4 linked regions of the Macaca fascicularis genome follow. The protein of the gene in region 3 purifies or fractionates together with the protein of the main gene of each other region. This does not show direct contact. Links are inferred from orthologs where the notes say so. Each region holds a gene or a part of one and is shown on either strand. Other genes may lie near its edges.

Evidence for each region.
Region 1: the proteins of SQSTM1 (region 3) and SPRED2 purify together in Homo sapiens (affinity purification with western blotting; 3 studies listed by BioGRID). This does not show direct contact. The link is inferred for Macaca fascicularis from reciprocal best matches to the Homo sapiens genes SQSTM1 and SPRED2.
Region 2: the proteins of SQSTM1 (region 3) and TRIB3 purify together in Homo sapiens (affinity purification with western blotting; 3 studies listed by BioGRID). This does not show direct contact. The link is inferred for Macaca fascicularis from reciprocal best matches to the Homo sapiens genes SQSTM1 and TRIB3.
Region 4: the proteins of SQSTM1 (region 3) and MAVS purify together in Homo sapiens (affinity purification with western blotting; 3 studies listed by BioGRID). This does not show direct contact. The link is inferred for Macaca fascicularis from reciprocal best matches to the Homo sapiens genes SQSTM1 and MAVS.

The regions. Positions count from the first base shown.
Region 1 is NC_088387.1:56,458,691-56,463,766, forward strand, and holds the start of SPRED2 (sprouty-related, EVH1 domain-containing protein 2), read left to right. Parts: upstream 1-1,788; 5' UTR 1,789-2,341; coding exon 2,342-2,367; intron 2,368-5,076. UniProt on the Homo sapiens protein: Negatively regulates Ras signaling pathways and downstream activation of MAP kinases. Recruits and translocates NF1 to the cell membrane, thereby enabling NF1-dependent hydrolysis of active GTP-bound Ras to inactive GDP-bound Ras.
Region 2 is NC_088384.1:87,030,835-87,035,809, forward strand, and holds the start of TRIB3 (tribbles homolog 3), read right to left. Parts: upstream 3,289-4,975; 5' UTR 3,215-3,288; intron 3,175-3,214; 5' UTR 3,142-3,174; intron 1-3,141. UniProt on the Homo sapiens protein: Inactive protein kinase which acts as a regulator of the integrated stress response (ISR), a process for adaptation to various stress. Inhibits the transcriptional activity of DDIT3/CHOP and is involved in DDIT3/CHOP-dependent cell death during ER stress.
Region 3 is NC_088380.1:186,725,147-186,728,372, reverse strand, and holds part of SQSTM1 (sequestosome-1), read right to left. Parts: intron 851-3,226; coding exon 636-850; intron 297-635; coding exon 101-296; intron 1-100. UniProt on the Homo sapiens protein: Molecular adapter required for selective macroautophagy (aggrephagy) by acting as a bridge between polyubiquitinated proteins and autophagosomes.
Region 4 is NC_088384.1:83,439,641-83,444,437, forward strand, and holds the start of MAVS (mitochondrial antiviral-signaling protein), read right to left. Parts: upstream 3,289-4,797; 5' UTR 3,229-3,288; intron 1-3,228.

The DNA of each region.
Region 1 (5,076 bases), on a different chromosome or scaffold from region 3:
TATTTATTTGTTTAGAGACAAAGTTTCTTCTTGTTGCCCAGGCTGGAGTGCAATGGTGCAATCTTGGCACACTGCACCCTCTGACTCCTGGGTTCAAACAATTCTCCTGCCTCAGCCTCCGGAGTAGCTGGGATTATGGGCACCCACCACCACACCCAACTAATTTTTGTATTTTTAGTAGAGACAGGTTTTTGCCATGTTGGCCAGGCTGGTCTCAAACGCCTGACCTCAGGTGATCCGCCCACTTCGGCCTCCCAAAGTGCTGGGATTACAGGCATAAACCACTGCACCCAGCCTGAGGCAAATATTTAATCTCTTAACCTGATGTTCAGTGGTTGCTATTTAGTTAACATCATATCTGGATTGTCCCGTGGACATTCAAGAGGATGGAAAAGTCTACTATGTTTGGAGAGCAGCAAGGGATAGGGACTATGTCCCTTGTTTCTTTTTCTTTCTTTCTTTCTTTTTTTTTTTTTTGAGATGGAGTTTCGCTCTTGTTGCCCAGGCTGGGGTGCAGTGGCGCAATCTTGGCTCACCGCAACCTTCACCTCCCGGGTTCAAGCGATTCTCCTGCCTCAGCCTCCCGGGTACCTAGGATTACAGGCACTCGCCACCACGCCCAGCTAATTTTGTATTTTTAGTAGAGACGATGTTTCACCATGTTGGTCAGGCTGGTCTCGAACTCCCAACCTCAGGTGATCTGCCCGCCTCGGCCTCCCAAAGTGCTGAGATTACAGGCGTCAGCCACTGCGCCCGGCCGGGGCTGCCTCTTAACGCGAGAATTTCCATAATTTCTACGGAAATGCAAACGTTTCTGGGCTGTGCTGGGCTTTGCACGAGTAATGATTCTTAAAAACATCCGTTCCTTGGCCGGGCGCGGTGGCCCATGCCTGTAATCCCAGCACTTTGGGAGGCCGAGGCGGGCGAATCACGAGGTCAAGAAATTGAGACCATCCTGGCCAACACGGTGAAACCCCGTCTCTACTAAAACTACAAAAATTAGCTGGGCGTGGTGGCGCGCGCCTGTAGTCGCAGCTACTTGGGAGGCTGAGGCAGGAGAATCACTTGAACCCAGGAGGTGGAGGTTGCAGTGAGCCTAGATCGCGCCACTGCACTCCAGCCTGGGCTGGGGACAGAGCGAGACTCCATCTCAAAACAAAACAAAAATCCGTTCCTCTATTGAGACAAAAAAGGAAAAAAAATCACAAGATTCACGTGAAACGGAAAAGCCTCTGCCTTTCAGAACCTTGGTAAAGTCGAACCCCCTCTCCTTTCTGGTTGGGTTGGGTTAGAGAAGCCAGCCCCTGGCACCTGCGCCGCCCCTACCTTCCCACCCTGCGGTGGGGGTAGTTGTTCCTCTGAGCCTGAGCACCTCTTAAGCTGTTTCACTCCCTCCCCTCCCTTGAGTTTCGCATCTCCGCCCCCGCCCAACCCCCCGATTTATAATCTTGGGGTTTGGAAGGAGGGAGGGGGCAAAAACGGGAGCCAGATGTGTAAGAGTCCTCCGCTCCCGCCTCCTCTCTCCTCTCGGGCTTCCTAAAACCCGGAGCCCTAATCAAGGAGGATTCGGAGCCAGACGGTCGCGGCGAAAGCAAACAACTCGGCTCCGCGGCTCCCCCGGGAGTGGAAGCCAGGAGGGAGGGGGAGAGGAAGCCGGGCGTGCTCAGTAGGCGGGACAAAGTTTTTTTTTTTTTTTCTCCCGTTTTTTTCGGTCGCAAGTAGGAAGCTTTTTGCACTCCACCACCTCTGGCCGCTGGGAAGACGTCATCGCTTCCGCCCTACTTCCTCCTCCTGTTGGCGGCGGTGAGAATCCAATATGGAGTAAATCGGTGGAGTCGAGAGATGGGGCTCGGACGGGGCGCCCTGCACTGCCTCCCAGGCGCACCTCCCCCGGCCGCCGACCGCTCCCCGGAACCGTGATTGGCCCGGCCCCCCGGGGGCGACCCCGGACCGAGTCCCCCCACCCGCGGCCGGCGCTCTCCTCCTCCTCGCAGCAGTCCCCGCCGCTCCAAGGCGCGCTTGTTTTTCTCCTGCTCTCCCCCACCGCCGTCCCCTTCCCAAATCTCGCCCCCTTTGCCCGCTCCCGAGCCCCCGGAGCCTCCGCCCGCCTCTCCCCACGGCGCTGCGGCGTTCACTCCCCTTGCAGCCTGCCTTTGCACCCCTTCCCCCAAACCTCACCCCGCTCCCTGCTTCCCCTTCTGCTGCGGCGCCCCCATCTCTAGCCGCCCCCCCTCCCCAAATCAGGCGATCTCCGGAGATGTGAAGAAGGGGGGCGAGCGGACAGGAAGATGAAGGGAGCAAAGCTGCCCGCCGCGGGACAGGCGTCTAGGTGAACAAGAAAATGACCGAAGAAACACACCCGGACGAGTAAGTTTGGTCGCGGGGTGGGACGAGGGTGCCCCGCGGGGGCAGCGTGGGGGCCGGGGCTGAGGATGCGGGCGGGGACGCTTATTGGGTGAACTTGGCGTGGGGTGCAGCGACTCGCTGACCTGTCGGGGTTGGGACGCGAGGCTTCCCTGCTTGTTGAAGTGAGGAGGGGGCAAAAACTGCTGCGGGCTGGCGGGCGCACGCCTAGGGTCGGCGGGCTGGTGGCCGCCCCGGGGGCCAAGGGCGTGCGGGTGACCTCCGGGCGGTCCCCGCTCCCTCTCCGAGGACTCACAGCACCCCCCCGCCCCCGAAATCCTCGGCGGCTGGAGCGGAAGACCTGACACCCCCACTCCGGCTTCCCGGGGCCGGTGGGTTTTTGCACAGTGACTTTGTGACTCCCGCCGCGCCGCGAGCCCCGCAGTCCGCTCCTGAGCCCACTGGGGCCTAGGCTCCGCCATTTCGTTTTCTTGAATCGCTCTCATTTGCATACCACATTTTCATTCATAAAAAACACGGCGGAGCGAGAGGAGGACGGGCGCGGGCTGCGCTGGGGTCTGGTGCGCCAGGGTCCCCGCGCGGGCCGGCGTGCTGGAGCCGCCCGAGGGGCCCCGCTGTGCGTGAGTGCCTGTGCACGCGCTTGTGGTCGGCACACGCGTCCTGCGGGGTCAGGCGGCTCGGGGCGGACCTAGGCGAGTGCGGCGGGGGCGTGCGGGGCAGCGCTCTGGGGGCGAGTGTGTGTGTGTGTCCTCGCGGGTGCGCGTGCACGGGCTTGTGCCCGGCCCGCAGGCCCGAGGGGAACAATGCTTGGGGCGCTCCGCCGGAGGGATCCCGGGCAGCCCCGCGCGGGACCCGTGACTGTCGCCAGCCCGGGGCGGAGGTGCAGCTGCCTCCTGCCTCGCGGTCCAGGGGTCCAGTTTGGCATTTTCTCTTCCTGGTCCGAGGCGTTTTCTGTTTCGGGTGCGACGGGGGCGGGGCCGCGGGGCCCGACACCTCAGGTCTTCTGCCTGGGGTCCGAGCGGTCATCGCGCGGCGGCCGCCGCTGCTGCTCAGTGGCTGTGCCCGCCACCAGCCACTTTTTTTTTTTTTTTTTTTTGTGAATAAGACGCTCTCCTTTATTGTCACATGATATCCCTCCCCTCCTCCCCTGCACATTCATAAATCCGGAGTCTGCATCGGTTCCTTTCATTCAGTGCTGCCATTAGCCAAGGTAGTGGTGGCGCGGGCTTGGGCTCAAAGAGCCGGTTGGCAGCCGCGGGGACGCGCCCTGGAGGGAGGCCCCGCGCGCGTCTTAGCAGTGGAGTGCGGGCTGCGGGAGGCGTGCTCCAGAGGCCCCAGGTCTTTTGCCCCCCGCAGGCATTGGGCCTCAAGAGTGCTGGGAGGGGAAGTGACTCAGGGCTGGGCGACAGGGAGGCTTGTCTCTTGCAGCAGGTGACAGTGTTGTGCTCTACTCTAAGAAATCTACTCACTTTATTAAATATACCCCCTTTATCCTTTGGCGTCTGCTGTTGCCAGTCTGGGCGGGAGTGGGGCTGCTGTTTGGGGAAAGGAATTTCAATTTCCTTCCTGTGAGTCCCCAGGGAACTTTGACTGCAGTAACCCCTGATCTTCCAGACACCCGTCACAGGAGAGGATCCCTGCTGGTGTGCCTGTCGCAGATGTCCCACCACATCTGCTGGTGTTTCTATTTCAGACGTTTTGCTTTGTCTTCGTATATAGCATCTTAAAATGGTAAAATGAAAAAAAAGTTGCGCTTTTAGCGCTGAAATATAGAGAAGGATTATGCTGCTGGGCCTTGCTGCCTTGTGAACGTGGCCAATAAATCAGTATTTTTATGGGCCCTCGATTGTACCTGCACACAGAGTAGCAGCAGTGGCAGTGAGGTTGGTTGCTGTGCTCTGGCCTTGCAGATTCTTGGAGAGGTTTGACCGCTCTACCTTGGCTCCACTCCTTGGGAATACAGGCCTGACCTGGCCCTTTTTGTGGCAGCTTGTCAGCCTTGCATCTTTCTCCATCTGCTATCCAAAGCAGAAGGATTTCGAGTGGGATCACCAGCGAGGAAAGAATAGTTCCATTTTAGGCTCTCAGAGCAAGTTCAGCATGAAGCTGCAGCCTCCACTGCTGTCACAAGTCCAGTTGAGAGGATAGATATTTGAGGAGTTCTAGTTTCACTTAGAGGCTGAGAAAGCCTTGGCATCTTAGCCACTGAAGAAATGGGCTATAGGGGTTATTTTTAATGTGATGACCTTGGCACGAGACTTTACATGCCTGAGAAGAAAGCGACTTCGTGGGCTGTAAACTGCCATGGTAGCTACCGTCTATTATTATGTTCAACGTACCTGTGTAATGACGCATCTGAAAAATTCCTTTTAAGTGTTAGTGACAGTAAGGTTTCTCTCTCTGAATTACAGAGCTTGCTGTGATTGCTTTTTTGTTGTTCAGGTGTTGTTTGCTGCCACTGTCTTTAAGTCCAGAGCTAAAATTATTGTTTGATTAAGGTAGCCATATTTGCTTAGGTTCTTGCTAGATTCCTACTCTGGGTGAATTTTGTTCTATTTTTTTCTTGTAATGATTTTATGTTTGAGGTCTCTCAGATACCTTTTGGAACCAGGCAGGGGTTGTTACTTAAGAGAACTGTGGCATCAAACTGGAGACCTAGGGAAGATGTATTTGTACTTTTGGTAAAATAGACTTGATAGTCTACATATAGTA
Region 2 (4,975 bases), on a different chromosome or scaffold from region 3:
ATGCCTTTAGGGTGGATTTGAAAGTACTAGACAGGCAGTGAGACTAGCTAGGAGTTCTGCACAAGCAGGAGTCCAGGCAGGAAAAGGTGACCTGGACTAGGGGGGTTGCTAGATGGAGACACGAAGTTAAGGGCTCATAGGAGGAGGATCAAGAGGACTCAGTGGCAGACTGGATGGACTGGATTGATTGGACATGGGGGTTGACGGAGAGGGTGGAATCGAGGTGAGGTCCAGCTTTTGGCTCCTGCAATGAGAAGAGATGATGGCTACATGTCCTGAGCTGGAGGAGAAGCCCTTATTTTGGGGACTATGGAAGAAAAATTTTAAGTTTAATTTCAGACCTGTTATGTCCTGGCAGTATCATGAAAAGTGGGTTTATTCTGTGGAATAGTGGCAGTGCACCCACTAACAATGAACACAGTGCTAGTGGGGGAATAAAAGGTGCAACTTTCGAGGAGTGCATTTTGACAATATCAAAATGAAAAACAGGCTGGGTGCAGTGCTTCATGCCTGTAATCCCAGCACTTTGGGAGGCTGAGGCAGGAAGATCACTTGAGCCCAGGAGTTCAAGACCAGCCTAGGCAACATAGCGAGACTCTGTCCCTAAGAAAAAAAAAATTATCTGGTCATAATGGCACACACCTGTGGTCCCAGCCATGCAGGAAGTTGAAGTAGGGGAATCACTTGACCCCAGAAGGTAAAGACTTCAGTGAGCCATGGTTAGGCACTCTAGCCTGGGTGACAAAGTGAGAATGTCTCAAAAAGACAAACAAACAAAAAAAATGAAGTGTGTGAGTTTTGATTCAGCAATTAATCCCATTGCTAGAATGTATCCTGTAGAAGTGTGCTTGTGTAAGCATGCAAATACAAAGTTATCCTGCAGCCCTTGTGACAGAAATAATTTGCTGTCTATAATTACAGGGCTGGTTACATAAATTATACTTCATCCACACAACGGAAAAATTTGCAGCCATTTAAAAGGTTGAGGACGCTGTTTATAGCCTAATCGAAAGGATCTCCAGAGTGAACTGTTAAATGAAAAGAAAGCCACCATCCACGCAGCTGTGTGACTGTGTGTGGGGTGGCTGAAGGAGAGGGCAGTAGGGCATGTCAGGGCAGGAAGGTTCTCTCTAGAACCCATCTGCCCACCCACTTAAACTCCATTCCAAGGATGTGCATGCCCAGGTCTGAGCACTGGTGCGAGAGGGACCTCAGCCTGGTGAAAGACCTTCCCAACAGTTCAAGGCAGGATGAACAGGGAAACATGAGTCAGTTACCAGACAGAGGCCCACCTCTCCAAGTACGCGGCTCCTAAACGGAAGAGCTGCCTTGGAAGGGAAGGTCTCCCCACATGAGTGAAAGGTCATGACTTTGGCTTGGTAAGAACGCAGTAAGGAGTGGCTTAGTCAGATATTCCTGGGTTCTAATCCTGTCTCAGACCCTTTCTAGCTGGGGGGTACCCCTGGTCAAGTTCCTCAAGCTTTCTGAGCCTCAGTTCCTGTAAAGTGGGAACAGGATGCAAAGTTTACAGGTTTTTAGTGATGATGAAATGAAAAAACAAATGAAGCACGTAGAGCTTATAGACCTGTTGCAGGGTAGGTGTCAGGAAATGGTCACTATTAGCACTCATCCTGTTGTTCTTCACAGCAAGATGCTTAAGTACCATCCTTGGGAGTCTTAGAAAGCTCCCCAGGTTCGAGGCTGGGATGACAGAACAGTCTCAAGGCTGTTCTGAGTCCCGCAGGATGCTACCTGGCCGTGCACATGCTTTGTGCCCTGTGCAGCAGGAGACTGCCTGGAGTCCCTCTGGCCTGTGCCACATCAGTACTCCAGGCTGCCTTGGCCCCAGTCATCCCTCAGAGCCTGTTGGGGCCTGGGATAAGCTCCACCCAGATGGGGACAGATGGGGTAACTGAGTCTATAAATCTTGGGCAAGGCATTTTGCAGACCACACTGCAGAATAGAATCTGTGCTGTGGAATGAAAGCAGCCCCTAATATCTACCTCTTGCTGTTTCCTGCCATACTCGAGACCCAGGGAAATGAGGGCGGGTTACATCAAGCGTGCGCGCGCTCACAGGTGTACACACACCCCTGAGACACTGTCTAAGCCAGCCAGCGACAACACATCCAGGGAAGACAGACATTAAGTGACACACCCTTGCCCTCCACGGGTAAGCGTTAGCGCGCACACACACACACACAGCCCTCCCAGCTATCACACCCATGGTCTACACAAGCAAGGCCGGCCCCACCACCCCCCGCCCCGCCCCCCGCAGCCAGGCCCCTTCAGCGGGAGCGAAAGCGAAAGGCGGCGGTGTCCCAGTCAGAAGTTTCAGCGGAAATTGAAGGGCGGCCCTGGGACAGGAGGGGGTGAGGCAGAGGGAAAGAGGTGGCTGTCGTCCCCCGCCCTCCCCGGTCTGCAGGCACAGCACACACCGCAAACACACGCGCACCTTCCACCTGCAAACCCGGAGCCACGCAGCGGGAAGAACCAGCGGCGCTGCCCGGCCGGGGATCCCGCGCTGCGACTTCGCTCCCACTCGTTCGGCTCCCGCACCACTCGCTCAGTTCGCTCCCAGGGCACCCCACCCAGCCCTCTCCCGGCCGTGTCCTCTGCACCTCCAACCCCTGCCACCAAGTGCCCAGCCCTCCAGACAGTTCTCACCATCCCCGGAGGCACAGGTCCCCGGGACCCACCCTCACCCAGAACTCTCTCCTACGGGTTCCCGAGGACCCCCGCAGATCCCCCGCAGATCCTCCGACACCCCCATAAAGAGTCCTCCAGTGCCCCCCACAAGCCCCTCACCTCACCACACGACTCCCCTGTCCCACACTCACGCAAAACAGACCCTCGCACACCCTCCTCTAGGGATGACAGCCGGACACCTCCGTCCCTGGCTTCCCCAGCCAAACTCGGGCGACCCCACGCCCTGCGGGGCCGCGTCACCTGAAGCCCGGGGGGAGCACTAGGCCCAGGGTGTCCCCCGACGGCAGAGTCTGTTAAAAGGGGTGTTGTGTGTGTGCGCGCGTAACACGCAGCAACACGCAGAGGCGCAGAGCCTCCCGGCGCCCCTTCCCCGGCCGCCCGCTCCAATCCCCCAGGCTCCGGGCAAGTCCACAGTCCGCACCCCGCCGAGTACCTTGTCCTGCCGTCCCGCGTGGGTCCTGGCGCCGCCGGTGCTCAGAGCCTCTAGGGTACCAGCAGGTGGGCCGGCCCGCTTCGCTGCTGCCGAGCTCGGGATCCCGGTCCAGCTCCAGCCCGGCCCGGGTCCTAACAGCGGACGTGTGCGGAGCCGCCCCCACTTCCGCTGCGAGTCTCGTGCGCTCCCGGCTCCCAGCCTGGGTGATGTAAACCTGAGCTAATCAGCCGCCGTCTGATGCCCTCAGGCCCAGGATTGCACCATCCCCGCGCCCCGCCTCACCGGGTCGCCGCCAGGGCGCGCTCCGCCAGGGCCTCTCTCCTCCGCTGCACCTGGGGACCCCGCCCTTGTTGGCCCACTAGGGTTGTCTGGTCTCAGTGCAGACACCAGCCACGGACTCTCCCTATCACCTTGGAAAAAAACATTTGCTTTTCTGAGCCTTACTTTCCCCACCTATGAAATGGGAAGAACATTCCTCCTTCTCGGGATGGTGCTCAAAAGAGCAAACAGTGACTGTTGTCCGGGTGCTTCCCCTTTTGTAAAGCACATTACCAGCACCGCCTTATAAAACCTTTAGGAGAAGTGGACATCTGGCAATCTCCATTCTCCCCCTTCTACTGAGAGCCAGCCTGAGGCCCAGCTGTGGGCAAGTGGTCCAGAAGCTTCAGGAAGGCCTATGGACCTAAGAGCTGACTCTGGGCTCAAAAGAACCACTGTGGCACCCTGGGGAGGCCTAAGGTCTGGTGAACTTCCCCGCGTTCCTTTGCTAGAGGCAGTGCGGCCTAGTGGCGAAGAGCCCCTAGAGCCAGCTGGCCTAAGAGTGCACTCCACCTTCCCCTCCAACCCACAGTGCTACCCCAGAAAAGCTACCTAAAACCCTGCCTCAATTTCCTTTTCAATAAAATGGGCTCATAATTGTGCTCACTTCATAAAGTTATTGTGAGGATTAAATAATGTAATATGTGTAAGACGCTTAGAACAGTGTGTGGCACATTGCGGATGCTCAATGGAGTGTAGACAATGGAGACAGAGAGGGAAAGAGGCCTTTAATATGCTTGCACCCTAGGCCTGGGAGGGCTTGGTGCTACTTCCTTTGGGGTGAAACATCCCTCTGCGTCCCAGGGGTCCAGCACCTTTCTTAGAAATCCCTTTTGATCTGAATTCACTAGTGTCAAAATATAACTCCTCAGCTGGGCGAGCTGGCTCATGTCTGTAATCCTAGCACTTTGAGAGGCCAAGACGGGAGGATTGCTTGAGGCCAGGAGTTTAAGAACAGCCTGGGCGACGTAGTAAGTCCCTGTCTTTACAAAGAGAAAAAAATAGTGGGCATGGTGGTGTGAGCTTGCGGTCCCAGCTACTTGGTAAGCTGAGGTAGGAGGATCACTTGAGCCTAGGAGTTCAGGTTACAGTGAAACATGATTGTGCCACTGCACTCCAGCTTGGGTGACAGAGTGAGATCCTGTGTCATAAATAAATAAATAAATAAATAACTCCTCTAGAGGCCAGACGTGGTGGCTCACGCCTGTAATACCAGCACTTTGGGAGGCTGAGGCAGGTGGATCATGAGGTCAGGAGATCAAGACCATCCTGGCTAACACGGTGAAACCCGTCTCTACTAAAAGTACAAAAAATTACTAAAAATACAAAAAACACGCCTGTAGTCCCAGCTACTCGGGAGGCTGAGGCAGGAGAATTGCTTGAACCTGGGAGGTGGGAATTGCAATGAGCTAAGACCGTGCCATTGCACTCCAGCCTGGGCGACAGTTTGAGACTCCATCTCAAAATAAAATAAAATAAAATAAAATAAAATAAAATAAATAAGATAACTCCTCGG
Region 3 (3,226 bases):
CAGTGGAGAACGTCCCATCCTGTTTGTGTCGCTGGAATCGGGGGGCAGGATGCTCTGAAGGGAAAGGTAGGACTGAACACAGAACTCTTGGTTCACTTGCCTGGTGGGAGATGCGGGTACAAGGCAGCTTCCTTCAGCCCTGTGGGTCCCTCCTGGGAGGGGTCCAGAGAGCTTGGCCCTTCGGATTCTGGCATCTGTAGGGACTGGAGTTCACCTGTGGACGGGTCCACTTCTTTTGAAGACAAATGGGTCCAGTCATCGTCTCCTCCTGAGCAGTTATCAGACTCCATCTGTTCCTGAAACAGAACTCACCATGAGCATACAAGAGACACGCGCAACAGGCCAAGCCTGACCATGGCACTGACTCCTGGCAAACAGTCGGGGAGCGTGCACGCACACATGTGTTTAAGGCTGCAGGGGGCTACGGGGATCAGTGAGCCACTCACAAAGACCAAGTAACTACAAAGTTCTAGCAGGTTCCCAGAGTGACTTTAATGGCACAGACATCACTGCAGCAGCAGCAGCTCCCTCAGGTTTCATAAGTGGCTGCATAAGTGCTGAGGATGAGGCGGAGGTGCAGCTACAAATCGCTAGGCTGCCCGAGGTCCCAGGTGGTGGGAGGGGCACAGGCTTGCCTCAGGCCGCCCCTCGGACTCCAAGGCGATCTTTCTCATCTGCTCTGCCAGAGACTGCGTGGCGCCCTCAACATTCCCACCCGGCTTGCTGGGGTCAGAGCAGCAGCTGCTTGGCTGTGAGCTGTTCTTCTCCTCTGTGCTGGAACTCTCTGGAGAGGCAGGGGTCAGGCGGCTTCTTTTCCCGCCGTGCTCCACGTCAATATCCACTTCAATGCCTAGAGGCCAAGGAGGAGAGAGAAAGCTGTGACACTCCCCCAAGGAGGCAGCTGCGAGCAGGAGTGTGGCCTGTGGGGACTACAGACTCATGAAGATCTCACGTTCAGTCCACACAAGCAGGTGAGGGTGTGGATGGCGGCACTCAGTGTGTGGATGCAGGGGCTAGGTTCTCCTACCCAGCTTGACCCCGGAATCACACAGTTAGTATGGGACTAGACGATGCAAACGTGTGAGTCCGAGGCTTCTCCCAATATCCCAGCTACAAATTTCTGTGGCTTCTGGAAACATTCTCGGTGTGCCCGCGATACTGGAGCTTTCTCTTTCTCCAATTCAGTAAAACATTAACCTCAGCTAGCATCTAAGGTCAGCTTCTAAGCCAGAAAGTCAAAGAGACCTTGTTTTTTCTAACCATGCAGGGTATGGGCTACACAGCAGGTAGGGCCAAGCCCTAAGTACGGGGGAGCCAACACTGCATGTGGCGGGCACCTCCAGCCACAGTGATGGAAGGCTGTGTGTGCCTCATGACACTTGCACACAGAGGCTTTGGGTGATGACATAACACGCACCTAAACGCTGGGCTCCGCTCGGAGTGGACAGGCCATGCAGGCGAGGCATGGGGCCCGACGTGGCAGCGCAGGGAGCCTGCACACCTCCAGGCTCACGTAACTCACCAAGGACAGAGGAAAGAATCACCTGCACTATTCTGAAATTAAATAGTGTCAAAAGTCTCCATGCCCACAGCTTAGAGTCACCGGTTGTCAAAGGCTGTGGTGCACACACTGCTCCCATCCCACTCCCCAAAGCCTCCCTGCACCCTTTCAGCTCATGCTGCTCTCACCTGATGATCGAGTTCACATCTGTGCATTTCCTACTCTAGACCAGTATCTGCCTCTCCTTCCACTACCCTTTCCAAGACTCAGTTTTTTGTTAAAAGAACATTCAGTGTTTCAGCTAGTACCTCTATCTAAATGTTCTTTGCTGGGTCAAGGGGCAGACTATTTCCTTGCATAGCTTTTTGTTTTCCTACCACTGATGACGGCTTCTCTTTTTTTTAGACGGAGTCTCGCTCTGACGCCCAGGCTGGAGTGCAGTGGCGCAATCTCTCGGCTCACTGCAACCTCCGCCCACCGGGTACAAGTGATTCTCCTGCCTCAGCCTCCAGAGTAGCTGGGACTACAGGCACATGCTACCATGCCCAGCTAACTTTTATATTTTTACTGTAGAGACGGGGTTTCACCATGTTGGCCAGGCTGGTCTTGAACTCCTGACCTCAGGTGATCCGCCCCCCAACATGCTGGGATTACCGACATGAGCCACCGCACCCAACCTGCCTTCTCTTTTCATTTGCTGACTTTCCCCATGTTCTCCCCACAGCATCTCCATAGTTTTCTACAAACTACAGACTATTGCTCAGAGGGTGAAGTGGATCCGAGGCCCCACTGGTTCTGGTGTTTTCCATAGAGAGTGTCCCCGGCTGTGCAGCCTCCTGTTCCAGCCAGGACTGGCGGCTCTCTGGGCAGAGGCTCTGCTGCACTGCTGTGACCACCTTTACTTTCACCCTCTGTCCTATTAGGTCCCCTGTTTCCTAATAGCTCTGTGCTTCATTTCGGGTTTATCTCTTCATGTGGTTCAAACCAAGGTTAAAATAATTAAGACTGTATACCAGAAAGTAACTTTGTTCTGCCCTGATACTTGATTGTTTTAGATGGTTATAGAACTCTAGGCTGGACCAGGCACAGTGGCTCACGCACGTAATCCTAACACTTTGGGAGAACAACGTGGGAGATCTCTTGAGCCCAGGAGTTCAAAGTCGGCCTGGGCAGCATGGCAAGACCCCATCTCTACAAAATGTTTTTAAAACAGCTGGGCACAGGGCTGGGCGTGGTGGCTCACGCCTGTAATCCCAGCACTTTGGGAGGCCAAGGCAGGTGGATCATGAGGTCAGGAGTTCAAGACCAGCCTGGCCAAGATGGTGAAACCCCATCTTTACTGAAAATATAAAAATTAGCCAGGCGTGGCGGCGGATGCCTGTCATTCCAGCTACTCGGGAGGCTGAGGCAGAAAACTGCTTGAACCCAGGAGGTGGAAATTGCAGTGAGCTGAAATCACATCACCGCACTCCAGCCTGGGCGACAGCAAGACTCCGACTTGGGGGGGTAAAAAAAAAAAAAAAAAAAAAAAAGAAAAAAGAAAAAAAAAAATCTAGGTACAGTGGCACATGCCTGTAGTTCCAGCTACTTGGGAGGCTGAAGCAGAAGGATCACTTGAGCCCACGAGATCAAGACAGCTGTACCATTGCACTCCAACCCAGTTGACAGACCGTTTCACAAACAAGAGAATTATAGGCTGAAAAGCCTTTTTAACTTTTTTTTTTT
Region 4 (4,797 bases), on a different chromosome or scaffold from region 3:
AATTCCAGATAGCAATAAAGGTTCTAAAGAAAATAAAGCAGGTGATGAGACAGAGCCCCTGGAGACAGGCATGCTACTTGAACTAGGGGGTCAAAGAAGCCTTTTTGAACTAGCATTCAGAACACAGTTGAGCCGTTCTCAGGCTCTGAGAAGATTGGTGCTTTAGGCAAAGGGTATGGTAAATGCAAAAATCCTAAAATGGGAATGAGCTTGGCATGTTTGAAGAACAGAAAGCAGGTCAGTGTGGTCTAGGTTAAGAAAGCTAGGGATGGCTGGGTGCAGTGGCTCACGCCTGTAATCTCAGCACTTTGCGAGGCCTAGGTGGGTGGATCACCTGAGCTCAGGAGTTCGAGACCAGCCTCGCCAACATGGTGAAACCCTTTCTTTACTAAAAATACAAAAATTGGCCGGGCGCAGTGGCTCACGCCTGTAATCCCAGCACTTTGGGAGGCCGAGGCGGGCAGATCACGAGGTCAGGAGATCGAGACCATCCTGGCTAACACGGTGAAACCCCATCTCTACTAAAAACTTCAAAAAATTAGCCAGGTGCGGTGGTGGGCGCCTGTAGTCCCAGCTACTCGGGAGGCTGAGGCAGGAGAATGGTGTGAACCCAGGAGGTGGAACTTGCAGTGAGCCGAGATCGCGCCACTGCACTCCAGCCCCGGGACAGAGCGAGACTCCGTCTCAAAAAATAAATAAATAAATAAATAAATAAAAATAAAAATAAAAAAAAATAAAATAAAAATACAAAAATTAGCATAGTGGTGGGTGCCTGTAATCCCAGCTACTCAGGAGGCTGAGGCAGGAGAACTGCTTGAACCCAGGAGGCAGAGGTTGCAGTGAGCCGAAATCGTGCCCATTGCACTCCAGCCTGGGTGACAAGAGCAAAACTCCATCAAAAAAAAAAAAGCAAGCAAGCAAGCTAGGGAAAGGGGCAGAGATTGTCAAGGTCAAGGAGGTGGCAGGGGCCACTCATGTAGAGTGCTATAAGAAAGGACTCTGGGTTTTAGTTGGTGTGAAACAGGGAACCACTGGAAGGTTCTGGCAGGGAAAGAAGAGGATCTGATTTGCGTTAAAGACTTCTCTGGTGGTTGTGAGGACTTTGGAGGGGCCAGGATGAAAACTGGGAGACCAGTCAGGAGGCCACAGCCCAGGAGACAGGATGATTATGGTCAGGATGGGAACCACAGAGATGGAAGGAGGCAGCCAGATTCCTGGTGTTTTGAGGGTGTAGGAGATAAGGGAGAGAAAAGAAGGATGACTCCTTGGGCACTGGATGGATGGAAGGTGCCCTTTTACCAAGCCAAAGAAGCCAGGGGAGGAGCAGTGGCTCAGAAGGAACTCCAGAACTCAGGTCTGAACAAGTGAAGCTTGAGATGCTATTGGATTCCAAGTGGGTTGTCAGGGAGGGAAGGAGACAGGAGAGGACCAAATGGGCATCAGGCAGGCATGAAACCTCTCTCAGGAGGCAGTGCTGCAAGCAGACAGCATCTAAAAGCTGCTGGGCCACCAGACCCTCCTCACAGGGGAAACAGTCTTGTCACTGGCCTCAGAACCTCACATGCACGACTTGCTTTGCCAACCACCAGGCGCTGCTGCATTCCTCCTGGGGCAAGTACTAATGACAGGTCGGGAGAGTCAGGAAGGTGAGGTGGGGGTCCTCTGAGCCTTCAAGAAATAAGCAAAGAACAACTCTGTGGGAGTTAACAGACTCCTTTCTCGGCCAGGCATGGTGGCTCATGCCTGCAATTCCAGCATTTTGGGAGGCCAAGGCGGGCAGATCACTTGAGGTCAGGAGTTTGAGACCAGCCTGGCCAACATGGTGAAACCCAGTCTCTACTAAAAATGCAAAAATTAGCCAGGCATGGTATCAGACACCTGTAATCCCTGCTACTTGGGAAGCTAAGGCATGAGAATCTCTAAACCCAGGAGGCGGAGGTTGCAGTGAGCCCAGATTGGGCCGCTGCGCTCCAGCCTGGGCAAGAGAGTGAGACTCCATTTCAAAAAAAAAAAAAAAAAAGACTCCTTTCTCCTTCCTTTCTCATGGCATCAGCCAGGTACCAGGAGGCAGTCAGATGAAGCACTCTTCTGCATTCCAGCCTAAGCCACAGATGGAGGAGAAGGGACGATGTGGCCCAACCAAAAGGAAAGGAAGCCCACATTTGTTCACATTTATGGAGGGCGCACTGCAGACAGGCACATCCTAAGGTTCTTTCAGTTAAACCTTCCCCAATCCCGTGACAGGGAAAGTGATGCCAAGGTGCACAGCTGGCCAAAGGCTAGCACAGGATTTGAACCCAGAAACTGCTGCCTCACTGTAGCCAGTCATAAACCTTGCAGGGCACAGAGACCCCTGCAGCAAGAGAGACCCACACAGTCACCTGCCTTCAAGCCCAAAGAGGACCCAAGGTCACTTGGTGGAGGGGAGGCTGAGGGTGCACTTGGGAGGAAGCAACATTTAGTACAAACATTAACCCTGCCCTCACATGGCTGCCACAGGCCCCAGGTCGCTGGCTGTCCTCCTAGATATTTTTGAGGCTTCACGGCTTCCATACAGAGAATGCCTTTTTCGTGTTTTTGGTTTGTTTCATTGTTTTCCTGGCACCTCCTTCCCATCTGAGAAGGAAGGAGGTGACAGAGTGTTCCCGATGCAGCAAAGTTTCCGACCTGATTGTCCAGAGGCTCTGAGTGCATCCCGGAAATAAATACCCACCCCCACCAAAGGCACAGGCCTCACAGCCTCGGATCGGATTCCTGGGCGAGACCCAGGTCCGCTGAGGGCGGGGAGGCTGTTCTGAGCTGGTGTCGCCGCCAAGAACTGTCCGGACCCAGGGGAGGGCAGCAGCACTCGACCTCAAGGCGCAACTAGTCGAGGCTCCGCCCCAACTTAGCGTCACCCTGGGCCCGCGGGCGGCAGGAAGAGGTCAGCGGCCGCTGCCCGTCCCCTTCTAGCCCTACTTTTCCCCTAGCCGGAGCAGACGCCCAGCGCGACCCACCCCCTTTTCCCTGGATGCTGGATGCGGCGCCTGGAGCCCTCAATGTTCCCGAACCCCGTGCGCCACAGGGCCGACTCTTCCGGAGCCCCGCGCGCCCTGTCCCCTCCTGGGCCCCCGCGGCCCCAGACCCAGGGCGTCCCGGCGGACTCGGTACTGCCGCTGCAGCCACCTTCCCTAAAGGCGTCCGTGCGTGCTGAGCCGAGAGGACCCATCGCCCGGGCAGCGATCTTACCTCGAGTAGCCCCGACCCTGAGACCTGGCGACCGCCGCCCGGGGCCCAAGACCCCTCCCTCGGCGAGGGGGCGGGGCGGGCAGGGCGCGCGGCTATTGGTCACGTGGAGGGGCAGGGCTACTCGGCCGCGCGTGGTTGGCTGGCGGCGCAGGCCGCGGCGCGGCGGGGGCGGGCACTGGGCCTTGGTTTGCTGGTCGAGAAGCGCTAGGCTGGGCACCGAGAACCGACCTGATTTTCTGCTGAGGGCGCGTAGTCTCGAGCAACTTCCAGGGGAAGTCCAGTGTCCGGCCAGAAACCAGGCAGGCGGCCGGCCTCGAAGTCCTCAGGGGGCTGAGAATTCCATCCCCACGCTTCCCAAGTGAAACAGCCCCTCCTTCCGCCGGTAGTTTTGATGGGTGAGGGTCTTCGTGTCTTTCTCTCCTGCATCCCCATGGCCAGGCATACAGTTAGTGCCCAATAAACGTTGGGTGACGCTGAAGTCACAGGGGCAAGGATGCATAGCCTAGAGACGCGCATGCTGGGCCTGTGGGAGTGGGAGCGGGCGGGGGACTGCCGGGCAGGTAGTTGCAAGGCAGGGACGCCGAGGTTGGCTGGCTGGCAGGCTGGGTATGGGTTGGGTCCTGCGTGGGAGAGGCCTCTTACGCCCAAGGGCCTGGGACAGGTACCTCCCGCAGTTCCTGCCATCTGTCTCGCCCTTCCTCTTCTGGGGCAGAGGCCAACACTTATTGAGCACTTACTGCCTTCCAGGCACAGGGCCTTCTATTTTTTTTTTTTTTTTTTTTTTTTTTTTTTTGAGACAGAGTCTCCCTCTGTCGCCACCACGCCCGGCCTCAAGTGAGATTTTATTACTGTACTTTATATCCCTGTGAATATTTCACAACCTTCAGCATTTACAAAGTATGCTTAATCACACCTGAACTGTAATAAAACCAGCTCTGCCTAGTTTAGCCAAGAGGGCATAAATGTGGATTAGTTCAAGAATCAAGCCTGCCTGCTCCCCACCGGGCTCTAGCAGCTTCATATCTAATACTTCCCCCCTCCCCACCCCCGAGACGGGGTCTCTTTCTGTCTCCCAGGCGGGAGTGCAGTGGCGCGATCTCAGCTCACTGCAAGCTCCGCCTGCCGGGTTCTCCTGCCTCAGCCCCCCCCCCTCAATAGCTGGGACTACAGGCGCCCACCACCACGCCCGGCTACTTTTTTTGTATTTTTAGTAGAGACAGGGTTTCACCGTGTTAGCTAGGATAGTCTTGATCTGCTGACCTCGTGATCCGCCCGTCTCGGCCTCCCAAAGTGGTGGGATTACTACAGGCTTGAGCCACCACGCCCGGCCAATATCTAATTCTTTTGGGAAGAACATTGAAAGTGTGGGTGCGGGCTTCCAAATGCGGCTATCACTCCTGTCTTTGCTGGACCTCAAAGAGCATTAAAACAATCCCACTGCCTGACTAGGTGGTTCCCTGCCACCTGTCAACAGTTTTTATAAAAATTTAGACAAAGAACACAACATGCTTCTAGTATTCTGATCAAAAGCTCATGATCTAAAACTAATCATAGGGAAACAGTAAGCAA